2 separate regions of the Mus musculus genome follow, and region 2 is reported to be linked to region 1. The links are microRNA targets in miRTarBase. Many come from high-throughput screens and were not tested one by one. Region 1 holds a microRNA gene; the other region holds the end of a gene's coding sequence. Distances are from middle to middle.

Region 1 (7,000 bases):
CATCAGACTGGTTTCCAACTTGCAATGCTTCTGAGACGATAGGCCTACTTCACCTTGCTCAGTCTGATGATTATTTATCTATGTATTTATTTACTTACTTACATACTTATTTATTTGGGTTTTTTGAGATAGGGTTTCTCAATGTAATGGCCTTGGCTATCCTGGAACTTGCTCTTAGACCAGGATGGCCCTGAACTCAGAGACCCACCTGCCTTTGGCCTCCCAAGTTCTGGGACTAAAGGCATGTACTACCACCAACTGGCTTAGGTCTGATAAATCTTAATATCAATATTGGGTATTAATTTCAAACCTGTGGTGGTTTGAAAAACAATGGGTCCTATAAGCCTATAATGAGTGAGTTAGGAGGTGTGGCCTTGTTGGAGGAAGTTGTTCCTATGGCCAGGCTTGGAGGTCTCAGAAGGTCAAGTCAGGCCTAGTGGCATCACTGCTTCTTTCTGTTGCCTACAGAGCCAGATGTAGCACTCTCAGCGACTTCTCCAACACCATGTCTGCTTGTGTGCCACCATGCTTCCTGTCATGATAAATTGCTGAACCTCTGAACTGTAAGCCAGCCCCAATCAAGTGGTTTCATTAGTAAGAGTTGCAGCAGTCATGGTGTCTGTTCACAGCAACAGAATCCTAACACAATACCTTAGGTAACTAGGTATATTTTAATAAGATGAACCACCTAGAGTATTATATCTAATACTAAACTTGAATCTAATCAATAGAAAGGAACTAAGAAAGATAAAATAACAAGTGTAATGGCAGCATGAGGAAGAAATGGTCATATGCAGAATGATATCGTCTATGATTCAGTTTCTTCAAACATCAATGGCATGGCCAAATAAGGGGGAGAGCTACTTACAAAATGCAGCATTTAGACCTTGCTTGAATACTATATAAAACAAATCCAACTCATCTATTTTCTTAATGGTTCTCTCTCTCTTACATTTATCTGTCTGTGGATGTGTCACAGTGTACTTGTGTTGAGTCAGAGGAAAACTGTGGAGTTTCTTCTCACCTTCCACCAAGTAGGTCCTGAGGCTTGAACTCAGGCTTTGTGGTAAGCATCTTTACCTACTGAGTCATCTTGCAGATCCAACTGCTATATTGTTTAAGGTGTATTTGAGACTACAGCAGAAAGTTGATCATAGACAAGGTACTACCCCGTGAGCTACTTCCAATATGCCAGAATAGAGAGGTATCTGTCTTATACCAAGAACTACTTCTAGTTTAGTTTGTGTCAGCATTACCACAAAAGCCGTTTGTCTATGTCCCTTCCCCCACATCAGTTCATCTGTTCCCCATCCTTCACGTTAGGGGGTCAAACCAGGGTCTTATGCATGCTGTGAAAGTAATCTAACAGGGAGGCATGCACAGCCCAAGGGAATTTTAACCACATCTAGTCATAGTTAGTATGCAGCTAAGCAAAGAATGTTATTAGCAAATTGATTATGATTGTCTTTAAACCACAAAATAAAGTAAGTGGTCTCCACATACTTAACTAAATTACAAATGTTTCTTTTAACTATTCTATTATCAAAGTTTATCCAGTGCCCAACAAACCTTTTTGTTCTTTGGAAAGCTGTTCAGCTTGGTCCCAAATTTCTGTGGCATAGAGGAAGTTAGATGTAACCTGGACATAGCTTGCTGCCATCTGGTGGATTTTCTGTGGAATGGTCACTGAAGAACCACTTGCTGAAGCACTACTTCCCCCAGAAGAGTAACTTCCAGAATTGCCTGGTGACAGTTTTGGAGAAACAGGGGAGGGCATCCCAACAGCTTTGCTACACACAAAGAGAAACAGGATACTTATTCACACACACATAGTGAATACTATGAAATTAGCATACTGTAGAATGGAAGTCACCTGGGCTCCTGTCTCAAAAGAACAAATTAAAAAGGACACAGCTCAGTGAGAGAGCACTTGTTACCATGCAAAAGGCTCTGGGTTTTACATCAGCCCTGGGTATGTAGACAAGGGAAAATAAGATGGACTGTCAACTCACATTAAAACAAAGACTCCATAGATGAACTGAGAAAATGAAAAAGTAAATCTAAGTTTGCAGGATGTTTGTTCCCCTTTCGGGTGTAGGCAAGAAGGGGTTAATGTGGAATGGAAGATATATCAAAACCAAGCCACTGTATTCTAGCAATGAAAGGTCTGAGTGAAGTTTAAACCATTGTAACAAACCTAAGTGACATGAAAATCAACCTGAGAAGACTCAAGGTACTGTTAAAAACTTAACTGGGGGGCTAGTGAGATGGCTCAGGGGTAAGGGTGCTTGCCACCAAGCCTGACAACATAAGAACATTTATGAACTTATATGGGAGGAGAGAGAAAGAAAACCAAACCAAAAGCCAACTCAGATGTCTGAGCTGTTGACATATCTCATTTCTAACCTCTCTTAAAATTCTTTATATTTAAAATTATTAAATTGGAAAGAATAATTTAAAAAGAAAGTACTTTTCTAGAGGCAAAACGTAGTAGGAAAGCGCTCCAAAGGCCCTGGATTCAATTCCAAACATCAAAAAAATAAAGTTTAAAACACCTTACTAGAGATTGTAATACTTTAAAATTAGCAACCATTCTGCTGTCCATTTCTACTCTGATCCACAAATAAGCTAATCAAAAATATATCAGAGAACAAAACTGTACCTACCTCCCCAAGCCGGGTGAAGGTGCTTGAGAATTACTGTAAGAATTCTGCATGGGAAAAAAAAAATATTTAACAGCAATATATATAACTTTTAAGGCATTCAGTATCTTCCAAAGTGTTTGGGCTAGGGTTGATCTTGAGAACTTTATTGAAAAAACTGGCTCCATAGGGAGTTTGAGGTCAGCTTAGACTAGATGAGACACTATCACAGAAAAGTAACATGACGGTAGAGATGGCTCAGTGGTTAAGAGCAACTGTTGCTCTTCCAGAGGTTCTGCCTTTAGATCCCAGCACCCAAGCTGGGCAGCTCACTCTACTCCAAGAGATCTGGATCTTCCTCTGGCCTCTGAGAACACGAACACGAACACACACACACACACACACACACACACACACACACACACACACAGAGAGAGAGAGAGAGAGAGAGAGAGAGAGATCTTTATATGTTTTAGTATTTTTTTTATGTACAGGTATTTTGCCTACATGTATATCTGTGTATCACATGCATTCCTGATGCCATCAGAGGCCAGAGGATGTCAGATCCTGTGGAACACACAGAGTTGTAAGTGGCCATGTGAAAACTGGGAATTGAATCTGGGTCTTTTGGAACAGCAGTCAGTGCTCTTAAGCACTAAGCCATTTCGGCAGGCCAATAAATCTTTAAAAACAACAGCAAAGGATGTATGAATGTACAACAGAAAGAAATTACTAAGTGAAAAGCTAGATTGTTCTAGAAGACTTCAAAGACGAGTAGCTGGGCTTGGTGCACATCCTTAATCCCAGCACTTGGAAGACAGAGGCAGGTGGGTCTCTGAGCTCGAGGCTAGCCCAGTCTACAAAGAGAGTTCAGGATAGCCAGGGCTTTTACACAGAGAACCCTGTCTTGAAAAACTGAGGGGGTGGGAGTAGGGTGGGGAAGGAAAAGGGGGGAAAAAACCCAATGAATAACAGAGATAAATGAAAGGAGGAGGAAGAAAAAAAAAGACACATGGGAACAAGTCATATTATATACAAAACCAGACAGAAAAGAAAATACCCATAACCCATGTAGGTTGTATAAAGAGAGGTTTAGACAAGAAATAAGAAACACTTCAGGACCTTATAGGCCAGACCTTGAGCTTATAGGCAACAATGAGTTATGGAGGAGTTTAAAGTCCTAACTACAACAGAATTTGAGGAGAATTATATGGTACTAGCTTGAAATAAAAAGGAAGGTATGTAGGGCACTGCAATAATCCTGTCTCCTGTCTGGGGTATACTTCAGTGGTTGGCACTTGCTTAGAATGCCCTGAGTTCCATCACTAGTAGTGTAAGGGACAAAACAAAACAAGGTAACAGTTTGAAGACAGGTGGTATGAAAAATACAAAGACTATTTTCTAGGACAGATATGGCTACCATTTACGGCTATAAAAATGTAATCCAATATCCGTACTTGAAGGCTTTCCCAAGAAAGTACAAACACATCTGAGAACTTCTAAGCAGTAGTTTGTTCCTCTCTTGGCATGTTGTGCCTAAATATGAGAGTATCTCTGGGACAGGGAGGGAAAGGTTTCCACATTTTGTCTCATAAGCAATGGACTGTGTTATACATACTGACCTTCAGGTGCTCAGTTAGCGTCTTGGAGTACTTGAGAGCGTTCTCCTTCTTCAGTTTGAACAGCCTCAGGTACAATAATGACTGGCATCTCAGGCTAGGCAATGGAAAAGGGCAGTGTATATAGACATGGCGCCATCTACAAGCAGTCTTTCCATTGTGTAGGAATATAGGGCTGGCTTCATTTGAGCAACCATGGCCCAGGGTCAATGTTACCTCTCAAACAAAACCAAGAGGTCAGCTTAATATAGAACACACCATAGGGAAAGAAAAGTAGCTAAGAAACTCTTAATATCCCATTATTACTGACATTCAAAATTAAGACTATACCAACATACTATAATTCAAATATCTTTTAAAAGTTAAAAACTAAAAGTTGGAAACTGAACATTGAGTGAGATGGAATACAGCAACATTCACCCAGCTCACACAGTTCAGTCCACACAATTGTTATTCCTGCTCACAACCCCAGCAAAGGCCACTTTGCTTCCTGCCATGATGATAATGAACTGTACCTCTATAAGTGTAAGCCAGCCCCAACTAAATGTCTTCCTTTATACAAGTTGTCTTGGTCATGGTGTCTCTTCACAGCAATGGAAACCCTAACTAAGACAAGGGGCATGTATAAAAAGAGCTTTAAAAACTGGTCACTTAATTCAATGGAGGGGTCCAGCATTGGTCCTACTCCAGCACATTCATCAAGAGGGCACTGGATTAGAGACAGGAGCTAAAACCTTTCAGTAGGGGTTTGAGCTATTTCCTGTTTGACTGTTAAGGTTTGTGAAGAGGTTGTGGAAGACTGATTCATGGGTAATACTCATAAAAGCACACACAGCACAATTCATCAAGAAACTGCCTGTTTCCCAAGCAAAGGCTAGAAGACAAAACACTTACCAAAGTACTGTGAGTCTCTTGTCTGCAGCTGTAGCATCTGGTGCCAAATAATTCTTTAGTTTCATAGTGTACCTATGAGTTGAGATAAAAAAAGAACAGAATATTTCACCTTGATCTTAGAACTTATATTATAAAAATATCAGAATCAACCCTAAATAAAACACCCACTAAAATCGTCCCTAAGAAAAATGGAACACTAAGTATCTTCTCAGTTTACCATATCAGTATGTCAATAACTAAGTAACAGTAATAACTGATAAAGATAGTCCCCACTTACTTAATGAGCTCCACCGTGTCTGAGTACATAGGGAATGGGGACTTGGATTCCTGAGCGTTCTTCTCTAATGCATTCCCACACTCAATGAAAGACACTACAGCATCAAGGTAGTACACGGCTTTCTCAAACCTGTCAGACTAAAGGAAAACAGTGCTGATTAATGACCCACTGCAAATACACACAACAGAAGGGTACACATGTCAAAACCTGAATATAAGTTTAATGAAGCACATCAGGAATATTTACATACCAAAGCATCTGCATTGTGTTTGAGTTTTTTTGCTTCTTGTAAATAATGGTCTGCTGAATAATTTCTGCAAAAAACAATTTTTTAAATAAATTTTATTTATTTATTTATTTATTTATTTATTTATTATTTATTTATTTTGGTTTTTTTGAGACAGGGTTTCTCTGTATTGCCCTGGCTATCCTGGAACTCACTTTGTAGACCAGGCTGGCCTCGAATTCAGAAATCCACCTACCTCTGCCTCCCGAGTGCTGGGATTAAAGGCGTGCGCCACCAAGCCCAGCTTTTATTTTTATAAATAAAAATGGTCAAAATTTCCTAAGAAAATTACAAAGTTGTTTTAGTGTCTAGTATCTTACAACTTTCACATTCTCAGGAGGTGAATGAGTTTTAAATATTTTACAACAATAATAAATTATTGCCAGGAGTGGTGGCTCACGCCTTTAATTCCAGCACTCGGGAGGCAGAGGCAGGTGGATTTCTGAGTTCGAGGCAAGCCTGGTCTACAAAGTGAGCTCCAGGACAGCCAGAGCTATAAAGAGAAATCCTGTCTTGAAAAACAAACAAACAAACAAAAACAAAAAACAAAAAAACAAAACAATAATAAATTATTAATAAACATTTCAACTTCCCAACAAATGTGTATAGATTAAGAACATAAATTATGGGCTACTATGGCAAATCTTCTACTCAAGTACACAGATCACGTTCCCTAGTGTTAAACATTAGCTTAATCAAGTTTTTTGTTTTGTTTTGTTTTAAAAACCATGAATAAATGTTATGCAGATAGAAGAAGTACCTTCTGACAGAAGGCAAGAAAGAGAAAGTGACATTGCTTCTCTGAGACCACTATTCTCAGCAGTAGTACTCACAGCAGGATTAGCTCTAGGAAGAACATCTTTCCTGTCACTCTGGAGAGTCACTGGTTGTTAAAAGAGTAGCAAGATTAAAGATGCCTTTCATGTTAAAAATCTGAATATTCTGTAGGTCAGATACAAGTATTAATCATATAGGATCTGACATACTTAAGTGAGTTTATTATACACTGACTAGAATTTCTAAAATGCACGGAAGTGTATTTACTCTTTAAAGCTGGTATGGTGGCACATGCCTTTAATCCAGACACTGGGAGGCTAAAGCAAGTCAACCTCTAAGAGTTTGAGGCCAGCCTGGTCTACACAGTGGCTCCAGGCCACTCAAGACTACATAGAAAATCATGTCTCAAAAAAACAAAACAAAACAAAAAACAAAACCCACAAAGTTTATCTTACCTGTCATCAAAGGCAAGCTTTGTTCTCCGAGGCTTCGAAGACTCAGAAGT
Region 2 (10,109 bases), 52 Mb from region 1:
AGTGAGGTGTGCGGGAAGGGGATGTCTCAGCGGGCCCATGCCGAGGTATCCCTTCCTTGAGGGGCCAGCCACACAACGGTATAGTATAGAATAGAGTTTATTCAGGGCATGGGGAGGGGAGTTAAGAAGGTAGTAGAGGCAGAGAGAGAGAGAGAGAGAGAGAGAGAGAGAGAGAGAGAGAGAGAGAGAGAGAGAAGAAGAAGAAGAAGAAGAAGAAGAAGAAGAAGAAGAAGAAGAAGAAGAAGAAGAAGAAGAAGAAGAAAGAGGAGGAGGAGGAGGAGGAGGGAGGCCAGCCATAAGCATGTGGAGAGAGGGGGAAGGGAAGAGCAAGAGAACAAGAGCCCAAGAGAACAAGAAAGGAACAAGAGAGGGAGGAGGGGGCAAGCAGCCCCTTTTATAGTGGGTCAGGCACACCTGGCTGTTGCCAGGTAACTGTGGGGGTGGAGTTTAGACAGACGCTAACAGTGCCTACCTGTGCGGGTTAATTTACTTCCAAGAGAAGGGAAGAAGGAGCCTCCACTAAGGAATTGCCCCTGTCCTGTTTGGCCTGTGAGCATGTCTGTGGAGCATTTTCTTTGTTTTTTTTGTTTTGTTTTGTTTTGTTTTGTTTTGTTTTGTTTTGTTTTGTTTTGTTTTGTTTTGTTTTTCCAGACAGGGTTTCTCTGTATAGCTCTGGCTGTCCTGGAGCTCACTTTGTAGACCAGAACTCAGAAATCCGCCTGTCTCTGCCTCCCAAGTGCTGGGATTAAAGGCGTGCGCCACCATGCCCGGCCGAGCGTTTTCTTGATTAATGATGACTGGCGAGGTCTCAGCTTGTCACCCCTGGGTAGGTAGGTCTGGTGATTTCTTAACTCGGACTGAGGAAGCTGTGGGGAACAAAGCTGTAAGCATAATTCTTCTACGGTCTCTGCTTCAGCTCTGGCCTCTAGGTTCCTTGAGTTCTTACCTTGACTTCCCTCAGTGATGGACTGGAACATGAAAGTGTAACTTGGAACAAACTCTGTCCTCCTCTGTGGCCTTGGTTTTATCACAGTGACAGGTACGTACTACATAACCTAAGGGTGGAGATTGAGAACTGGACTCTACAAAGTTGCCCTCTGACCTCCACATGCCTGTGATACATGGATGCCCAACCCCTACAATAGTGAGGGGAAAAAATTTTAACTCAAGGCCACCTTCTACTATGTAACAAATTTGGAGCCAACCTGGGTTACATGAGACCATCTCAAACAAAATTAGATCGAAGTCCTATAGCACTAAAGATCTAGCTCAGTGAGTAGAGTGCTTGCCCAGGGTCCTGGGTTGGTATCCCTAGCACTGCAAGTCATGATTATATAAATGTATATAATGATGATTATTCAAAGCCCACAGTCTCTGCTGCTTCAGAATGGGAGACAGGATTCTTTACGCCCAGGAGGTAACATTTTGCTTTGTTCTGGCCTGAGGATGAACCCCAGGGTCTTTCACAAGCCCCCCTGCTTCTCTGTACTCCCAGCCTTGAGCACAGGAAGTCTAGGCTAGATAACACAGCAAGATCTCGGCTCCCAATGAAAATAAAGTTTTACCGAGAGCTGACTGGAGGCCAAAGTGGCTATGTCAACATCCTGCCAGCTCCAGTCTTCTGTAAGACGTGTTCAGGCAGCTCCACCCAGACCAGCAGGTCTCAACCTATGGTTTCCGACCCCTTTGGGGGTCACATATCTGATATCCTGAACATCAGATATTTATATTCCAATTCATAACGGTAGCAACGGCTATGAAGTAACAATGAAATAATGTTATGCTTGGGGGTCATCACAACATGGGGAACTGTATTAAAGGGTCTCAGCATTAGGAAGGCTGAGAAACCCAAAGGTTTTCACCAGTAAGTCATTGAGGGGCTAGAAGATGGCTCAGTGGGTAAAGCGCCCACTGTGAAAGCATGAAGACTTGAGTGTGGGTCCCTGGCACCCACACAAAAAGCTGAGCCTGTCCATGCTTGTCTGTAATCTCAGCACGAATTTTGTTTGTTCAGCCAGCCCAGGTTCAGTAAGAGACCCATTCTACAAAAACAAGGCAGAGAGCAACAGGGGAAGGCACCCAGTGTAGACTTCTGGGTTTCACACTCAGGCACGCGGTACACAACCAATGGCATACACGCTGATACACATATTACACATCAAAAAAATTTGTTTTGCTTTTTTGTTTTTCAAGACAGGGTTTCTCTATCAGTAGCCCTGGCTATCCTGGAACTTGCTCTATAGACCAGGCTGACCTCAAACTCACAGAGATCTGCCTCTACCTCCTGAGTGCTAGAATTAAAGGCATGCACCACCACTGCCTGGCCTAAAAAAAACTTTTATTGAAAACTGTGTTCTTTTCTATATAAAATGATTTCAAGGATTTACCCAGATAACCAGGATTGTTTCCAATGAAGTCAGCCATGAGAGAGACACTGAGAATTCGTGTCTACCTCTGGCTCCAGCAACCCACAGGTCTGCTTTTGACTTCTTGGTATTCAAAGGGTCATGTTTCATCATTGATCAAAAGGCAGGGGTTGGCTCTCCTGCTCATGACCTCTGTGACACACTACAGCCTCCAGAATGGGATGTCTTTGCTTTTTATTTGGGGACAGAGGTTGCAGGGGTGGAACACAGATATGAGGGGATGGGGAGATGAGTGGGATTGGGGTGCGTGGTGTGAAACTCAAAAAGAATCAGTAAAAAGTTTGTAAAGAGGCAGGTTGTACGGGGCCATCTTTCCCTCTGTGAATCAGCGACTCCATCAGAGCGAGATTGAAGAGCCCTGGGTGGGTCCCAGAATCTTCTCAAGCTTTCTCACTGTTGGGAATTGAACCCAGGCAAGCGCAACTACCACCAAACCACAGACACAAACCAAACCTATGGCCAGCATCACAACTGCCATACCACATCAGCTAATTATGCACCAGGATGAGAGCCCATAAAGAGGAGGAGGCACCTGGACAGAGGTTTCCATAGAGAGAGACGCACATGGAGGTGAAGTGAGCCTGTGGGCCCCACTTAGGGAGCACTTCCTGTGAACTTACCATGGGGATAAATGAGCCCTTGACTCTGGCTGCAGCCCTCACAATCAACCTGTGTTATTAACCCTGTGTTGCCTGGGAGGAAGCTTACCTTTGGGAGGTTGTGTGACTCAAGTAGCCCTCTGAAGTTCATAGTATCTGTTAAGTCTATTGAGCAAAGCCATGCACCCAACCCGTGAGCTCTGTGACAAAGAGAACAGATAGCATTCGCTATCAGCTCCAGGCAGGGATTTCAGGGGTCTCAGAGCCAGCACTTGCAACAAAGGCCCCTGGAAGAAGGGCTGCAGAGAGGGCTCAGCAGTCAAGAGCCCTGGCTGCTCACCCAATAGACCTAGGTTTCAATTCCCAGCACCCACATAGTGCCTCACAACCACCTGTAACTCCAGTTCTACGATATCCAATTCCCACTTCTGGCCTCCATAGACACTAAGCCTGTGTGTGGTCCACAAACACATGCACAGGCAAAACACCCACACTCACAGCATTAACAACAGTAGCACAAAGCCAAGGAAGCGAGAAGAGAACAAGGTTTTTAATGGCTTGTGGAGTCCAGGAGAGGGAAACTGAGGTGGTAGGAGAGGGCTGACCAACAGGGAGGACCAGGTTTTCGAGCATTTATTTAACATATATGAGGGAATGGAGACTATATACGATACTATTTATATAATGCATTTTATACAAGGGGCTTGGACTTGGACAGCCGTGCATATAGAGAGCAGCAGCAGATCGTGGAATGAACCCACTGGAATAGCAAGGGGAGATTGTGTCTAATAACAGTTTGTTGTCCTTATCGTGGAGGACACCTCGCACTTTCCTCAAATTCCAAGGGAGGAGGACAGTGCAAATCTGCAGAAGCTGATGGAATTACAGTGTCAGAGGGCCAGGTGTCTCCCCCTGCCTGGCACAGCTGGACACCCTACAGTAACAGAGGGCCAGGTGTCTACACACACACGCACACACACACGCACACACACAGCTGGACACCCCACAGTAACAGAGGGCCAGGTGTCTCCCCTATGGACAGCTAGACACCCCACAGACCTCAGGGGTGTCTGGAAGTAAGACAGTATGGATGGAACTAGAAAAGTGTCACTGCCTGGGATCCCCAGAAAAGCCACCAGCCAACTGATAAATTCAGTATTTGGCTTCTCTGAATACATGGCCTTGAACCTTGGTGCCTGGCAGTTGCTCAGACCTCTTTCTAGTGTCTGTAACTACTTGCTTTTCAGACAAGGAAGGGTTAAAGCCAGCCCCTCCCCTTTGATGCAATGGAGCTGATTCTGATGGGAGCCAAAGACTGAAGTCAGCAGTTCCCTGAGGCCTCTTGGCAACACCCTCCTAAGGAAAGTCAGGCCTGCGGGAAGATCTGGGCACTTTCTTCTCATGCTGGACCCTCTTCAATCCCTCATTTGTCCTCTTCTGACTTCCCTGAGTGTCTCCTTTCTGCCTTCCCTCACGATGCTAGTTCTTTACCTCAGGTCTGCCAGAGACTCCTGCCCCACTGGTCCAGGCAGCTTGACCAGGTTTGGGCGGCTCTGTTCCAGGATAGCCATGTGGTGAGGCTGGCTGGCTCCTTGCCCCTGTGGCCTCAGAGAGCTGCCCACTGGGCCAGGCCTGCTCTGCCAGGGTACCTGGGAGGAGGCCATCTCTGCTTTGATAGGAGATAGGGGAATGCTGTTCTCTGGAGAGCTGCCCTGTCTTCCCATTCATTCATGGATTCATTGAGCTGTCACTGAATATTCAGGTGCTCGAAGCTGGGCCAGTTCAGACCTGCAAGGGAAAGCTGGGCTCCGTGCCTGGTAGACAGTGCCCTTCGCTCAGGCCTGGGACAGGTCTCAGGCCATCTGCCACTCAGCAGGCTCCGCAGAGAACCTGGCACACAGAAGAGATGCTTCGTGGTCAACTGAACTGAGCCCCACCAGAAGATAGAAGTCCTTGTCACATGTTCTAAAACTAGAACTGGCTGGGAGCCAGAGGGCAAGTGGCCAGGTCCAGAGCCTTCTTCCTGACCACTCAGAGAACTACGGGAACATTCCCTAACTCTTCTGCAGGAAGGCTTAGAACATACTCTCTGGGGAGCCCCCAGGCCTAAGAGGCTGTAGGACAAACTTGGATTGAATGTGGCCTCTGGCAAGACTCCAGTCACCAGAGAAAGAAAAGGAAAAATTAACTTGTCAAGGTTTGGGGAGTCAATTCATGCTTGCCCTGGAAGGGTGAGGGCCTGGGTTCGAATCCTCAGCACCCACATAAAACCCAGGAGCAGCAGCTGCCTATGCTCGTAACTCTTGGGGGTACAGATAGGTAGATTTCTGGGGCTGCTGGGGTCAGTAGGCTTGCTTACCCAGTCAGCTGCTGGCATGCACATGCTCTCTCTCTCTCTCTCTCTCTCTCTCTCTCTCTCTCTCTCTCTGTCTCTCTCTCAAATAGATGGGTGGCACTGGACATTTGGAGCCTCATTCCTTCAACTACTCAAATGACCCAATAGAGCTCACACTGCTTTTTACCACGCTGCTTCCTTCTCTCTCAGGGCAATGGTCACTGGCATCCCTGCCCTCAGAGCCGCTCCCAGCAGCCTGAAGAGCAACCCTTGAGCCACAGCTAGTAGCAAAGCACTCGACTCACAAAGGGGCTACTCTGGCCTCTGTTTGGAGAGCAAATCACTTGAAGGTAAAGTGGGTTAATCATTAAGGACCTTACTTTGGATTGACGGTCCCTTCCGTCCCTTCCGGAATGCCTGGCCTACCTATCTCCCATGGGTCTTGTGAGAGCTGCAGAGTAGGGACAGCTGGAGGAGCCCACACACACACACACACACACACACACACACACACACACTCAGGAATGCAGCTCACGGACTCTCTAGAGTTCTTCTGTCTTGGGCGGTCCCACCCATTCATCCTGCACATCTGATCCCGGCAGAAAGCAGCTGATCTGCTGTCCCCCTGGGCAATCCAGATCCCATGTTTCCTAGTGGCTTCCCCCAGCCTGAATCAAACATTGGAAAGAGACTCGGAAAACCATCATGGCAGGAGCGTCCAGGGTGGATGGGCAAGGGAAGGAGCGAGAACATTCAATGGGTGTCTTTATGTATTCTTTTCACTCCTTTAGGCTCTGAACCACATGACCACACTGCCTATCCAAAACAAGTAGAACTAAGATTTTAAAAGTCCTGGACAGGGTAAGCCTGAGAACGCACAACGCCTCTAAACCACCGCTAGTGTTCCAGGCCAAACCAGCCACCATCTTCTGAGGTCTTAATGATTGCAAGGGCTTCCTCTGCTTCCCCTCCCCCATCTCCCATCCATTGTCTGTGTCCCTTACCGCGGTTACAATGAACTTGTTAAAGATCAGATCAGCCATTCCCACTGGCAGCCTTCCTTACAGTATCCACCATGCCACTGCGTCCTGGCCTGCACCCACTCAGCCACACTCCTGCAGTCACCCTGTCGGTCCTCTGAGACATTAGGGACCCTCTGCTCCCACTCTGGTCCAGGTATTCATATTGCTCACCCTACACACACACACGCACACACACACACACACACACACACACACACACACACACACACACAATGTAATAAAAAAAAACTTTAGAAATAAGAGTAGCAGTTAGCATTTATGGAGTGCTTACTGCATGCACTCAGAGGCACTTGGTAAGGACACTCACCACATCCTTAAGCATCTTTCCGACAGCCCAACCCTAGGAGATCCTCTACGCCCTATTCAAGCTGATGGGACAATGAGCTCAGGTGCCCAAGTTCACACGCTTGTAGGCAGGGACGACTTGTCTCCTGAGGAGAGCCAAAAGCTCAGAGGCAAAATGGCAGGCTACAGAAACAACTGGACAGAGCTGCCATCTGTCCCTACAGGGCTGCGGGGGTCAGACTCTGCAGAGAAGGAGGCACAAACGCTGACTTCTCAAGCCTCTGGAAGGTTTTTATTTGTTTGCTATTCTTTTTCTCTTTTTCCTTCTTTAAAAAAAAAAAAAAAAAGACAAACAATAATAGCACATTTCGAGAATCAAGAACTACAATAGAGGGTCCGCTTTGAGTTTTTGTTCACATCGTCCTGCACTGGGACACGGGGACTGGCACTCTCCATCCTGGCTGGGACTCTCCTCTGGAAAAAGGTGCTGAGTGGTTCCATGAGTTGGTCTCCTAGGCCACACCAGATGGTAGCACCTGGTGCTGTCCCAGGTTACAGCCTCACCAGCGCCCCTCCCCCTCCAAACCATCTTCCCTCTCTCCAAGCCAGAGCCAGAAGCCGGAGACATTAGGGAACTTATTTTGGTCCCCACAGGGGACTCTTTCAAGGACAGAGCCCTCCCCTGACCAGCAGGAGATGACACCCTGTGAGTGGATAAGGTGTCTCTCCGAAGTTCCATCTCTACTCCAGCAGACACCACACCGGTGCCCTGGTTTGTACACCTGAGCCACCTAGGCTCCCTCCTGCCATACCCTAGGTCCATTCCAGCAGGCACAGGAGTGACAGATGCTTGGCCAGCCTCTTCAGCTGACCCCCACCCAGAGAGAAAGAGAGAGAGAATGAGAGAGAGAGAGAGAGAGAGAGAGAGAGAGATCACCCAAGTCCCAGGGCCATGGCTCAGAAGGAGGCACTGGGTGGAAAAAAAGGCACGAGGGCAGGGTGAGGAGACAGAGCTGATGTAGCCGAGTAGGAGAGGTGACAGAGAGCCACCCCAAGGGACGGGGCAGGCTTTCCAGGCCTACAGATAGGAAAGAATCCTAGGCTGCAGGTCAGCAGGTTTAGGCTCAGGGATCTGGGGAGGAAAAGACATGAATAAGCTCATGTCCCTTCTCATATTGCCTCCAGTTGCCATGGGGTCCAGGTCCAGGTGACACGATCCCAGGCCCAAGGGAAAGGGGAACATGACCCACTGCCAAGTCTCAGCCTAGCCTCTATGGTAGGCTGGGTACTCCCACCCCATGGCAAGCTATGCCCCCGGCACCCAGTAGCAACTCCCAAGGGTTGCCATCCAAAGACAACTGGGCTGATGGGTGATGGGGGCCTGCTGACCTGGGGCCCCTGCCTTACCCGCTCTGGCTCCACCCCGACCACGCCCTTGGGGCCCCTGCCTCCCCCGCTTTGGCTCCACCCCGACCACGCCCTTGGCTCTATTCTTGCTGTTCGTTCATTTCCATGTCAGACACCAGAATGTTCTTCTCGGTGGCCTCTGCGGGGCCAGAGTGGCTGCTGCGACTGTAGCGGGCCCCCTCGAAGGACCCACGCTCCGCACTCTGTCGGCGCCGGTAGAGGATGAGGGCTGCCGTCATCAAGGCCAGGAGGAGCAGCACCGCTGTCAGCACCACCACCAGGGCAACCGGGCTCTCGGGGAGGGCTGCTGAGATGGAGGTGGGGAGTTCACATCAGGCCCCAGTCATGACCACAGGGACAGAGGAGCCAGCGAAAGAACCAGGCCGGGGCTCGCTCATTCCCTCCACTCACCTGATGGCAAGAAGCTGTTCTCTTCCACTGTAGGAGAGGAGAGAGCCAGAGAATCACAATCAGTCCTCACAGAAATCATAGTCACAATTTAAATAAGTGCCTGTGAACTGCTTTGTGAATGTCACCTTGCAGAGTCACTGAACCTCCCAGGACTCTAGGACCTGGCTTCTACTATTTCCGTTCTATATATGAGGAAGCTGATGGGACAGGTGTGTGTGTGTCTATGTATGTGTTCTTATAGGTGAATATAAGCAGATACTTGTGAGTGTGCATGTGCGTAGAGGTCAGAGGTCAAGGTTATTGCACTGTGTCTTCCTTGATGCCTCTCTACCTCGGTGTTTTGAGGCAGGGTCTACCACTGAACCTACAACGTATGGATTCAGCTCATGGCTGGTGAATGAGCTCCAGGGGCCTATAAAACACAAATACACGTCTCCCTTTCTGTCTTAGGGTTACAGGTGATGGCACTCAATGTTGGGATTTTATTGGGGTGCTGGGAATCTTAACTCGGATCCTGGTGCTTGCGTGACTTTACCAAATGGACTATATCCCCAGGCCTCAGAGTCAATACGTGAGTGTCCAGGGCTTGACCATCCCTTGTCCCTAACCACTATAGAATGATGGGGCTTGCTGTCCTCTGGGCTTATGTGTACTTTGGAAAGTTGAGGCCCTGCGTCAGTCCTTGCTGCAAACTAATGTACTTGATGCCCTCCGGCCAAAGCAGATGCCCCTGTATATCAAGTAACCCTAGACCCAGCTGGACATCCAGCTGTGAGTCCAGCTATGGGCCCAGCTGTTGACCGAGATCCTGGCTTACCTCTAGGGAGCTTGCAGACAACTCCCATGGTGATGTTGGTACAAGCCCCGGGGCGCCACAGTCCGCTGCTGCTCTGGATCCAGTAGCAGCTGTTGTGGCTTAGCATGCTAGGGCCCAGGCCAGGGGGCCCCCAGTTAGAATAGTTCACAGCTGTGTTGTCTTGCCAGACCAGCGTGCCTCCTGTGGAAGGAACCCATTGGGAAGGTGTGGGAATGGGAATAGGTGGAAGGGGGGTTTCTAGGTGGGAGGCGATAACCACGATCCACTGCTGTACTTTCACAAGCCTGGAGACAGTGGTAAGCATCCCTCTTGCAGCCTGAGCCCTTCCCTTCCCGTACACAGAGCACCCACCTTTGGGGTTGAAGTTCATGCCCAACCAGGCACCTCGACTTTGGGCTTCAGCTGTCTGCAGGTGCTCCCAGACAAACACATTCTCCATCTCATCAAGAATGGACAGAACCGTCCCACCAGCTGGACACAAAGAAAGCCCATGTCAGGACAAGCAGATTCTCCTTATGGTGATAGACCCCCCCCCCAAACTACTTCCCCCCCCTCCCGCTTCACAGCAACCCCGGCACTCTTCTCTGGCAGCTCAAGTGCAAGATGGTGTGAATCTCAGCACTTGTGGACCGTGGGATATTCTGTAGATGACACAACATGGTCTGTGTATTAAACAGCGAGGGGAGCTTGAGATAAGTGCCTATAGGCAGAGGGGAAGTTCTTTCTCCAGGCCTCAGAGTCCCGGATCTGGGCTAGGCTGCTCTCACCCACCTTTCTGACAGCGCT

Evidence for each region. The annotated mature microRNA mmu-miR-6920-5p reads ACACAAUGGAAAGACUGCUUGU and lies in region 1 at 4,403-4,424, opposite strand. An mRNA with a match to its seed (bases 2 to 7 or 8) in the 3' UTR can be bound and repressed. Matches are read on the target gene's strand: a 7mer-m8 pairs with bases 2 to 8, a 7mer-A1 pairs with bases 2 to 7 and ends in A, and an 8mer does both.
Region 2: the mRNA of Mrc2 is a reported target of mmu-miR-6920-5p. The part of its 3' UTR that is shown has no 7-base or 8-base seed match.

The regions. Positions count from the first base shown.
Region 1 is chr11:53,406,626-53,413,625 of GRCm38, reverse strand. It overlaps Mir6920 (microRNA 6920), which reads right to left and starts at 4,429; the gene lies at 4,359-4,429. It overlaps Aff4 (AF4/FMR2 family, member 4), which reads right to left. Exons shown (of 21, transcript NM_033565.2): 14 at 6,951-7,000; 15 at 5,683-5,746; 16 at 5,433-5,569; 17 at 5,156-5,227; 18 at 4,265-4,358; 19 at 2,667-2,710; 20 at 1,570-1,790.
Region 2 is chr11:105,347,992-105,358,100 of GRCm38, reverse strand. It overlaps Mrc2 (mannose receptor, C type 2), which reads right to left. Exons shown (of 30, transcript NM_008626.3): 26 at 10,095-10,109; 27 at 9,675-9,794; 28 at 9,324-9,503; 29 at 8,507-8,533; 30 at 6,956-8,402. The coding sequence ends at 8,176. Among named protein-coding and RNA genes, the nearest start is that of Mrc2, 60 kb to the right of the region's middle.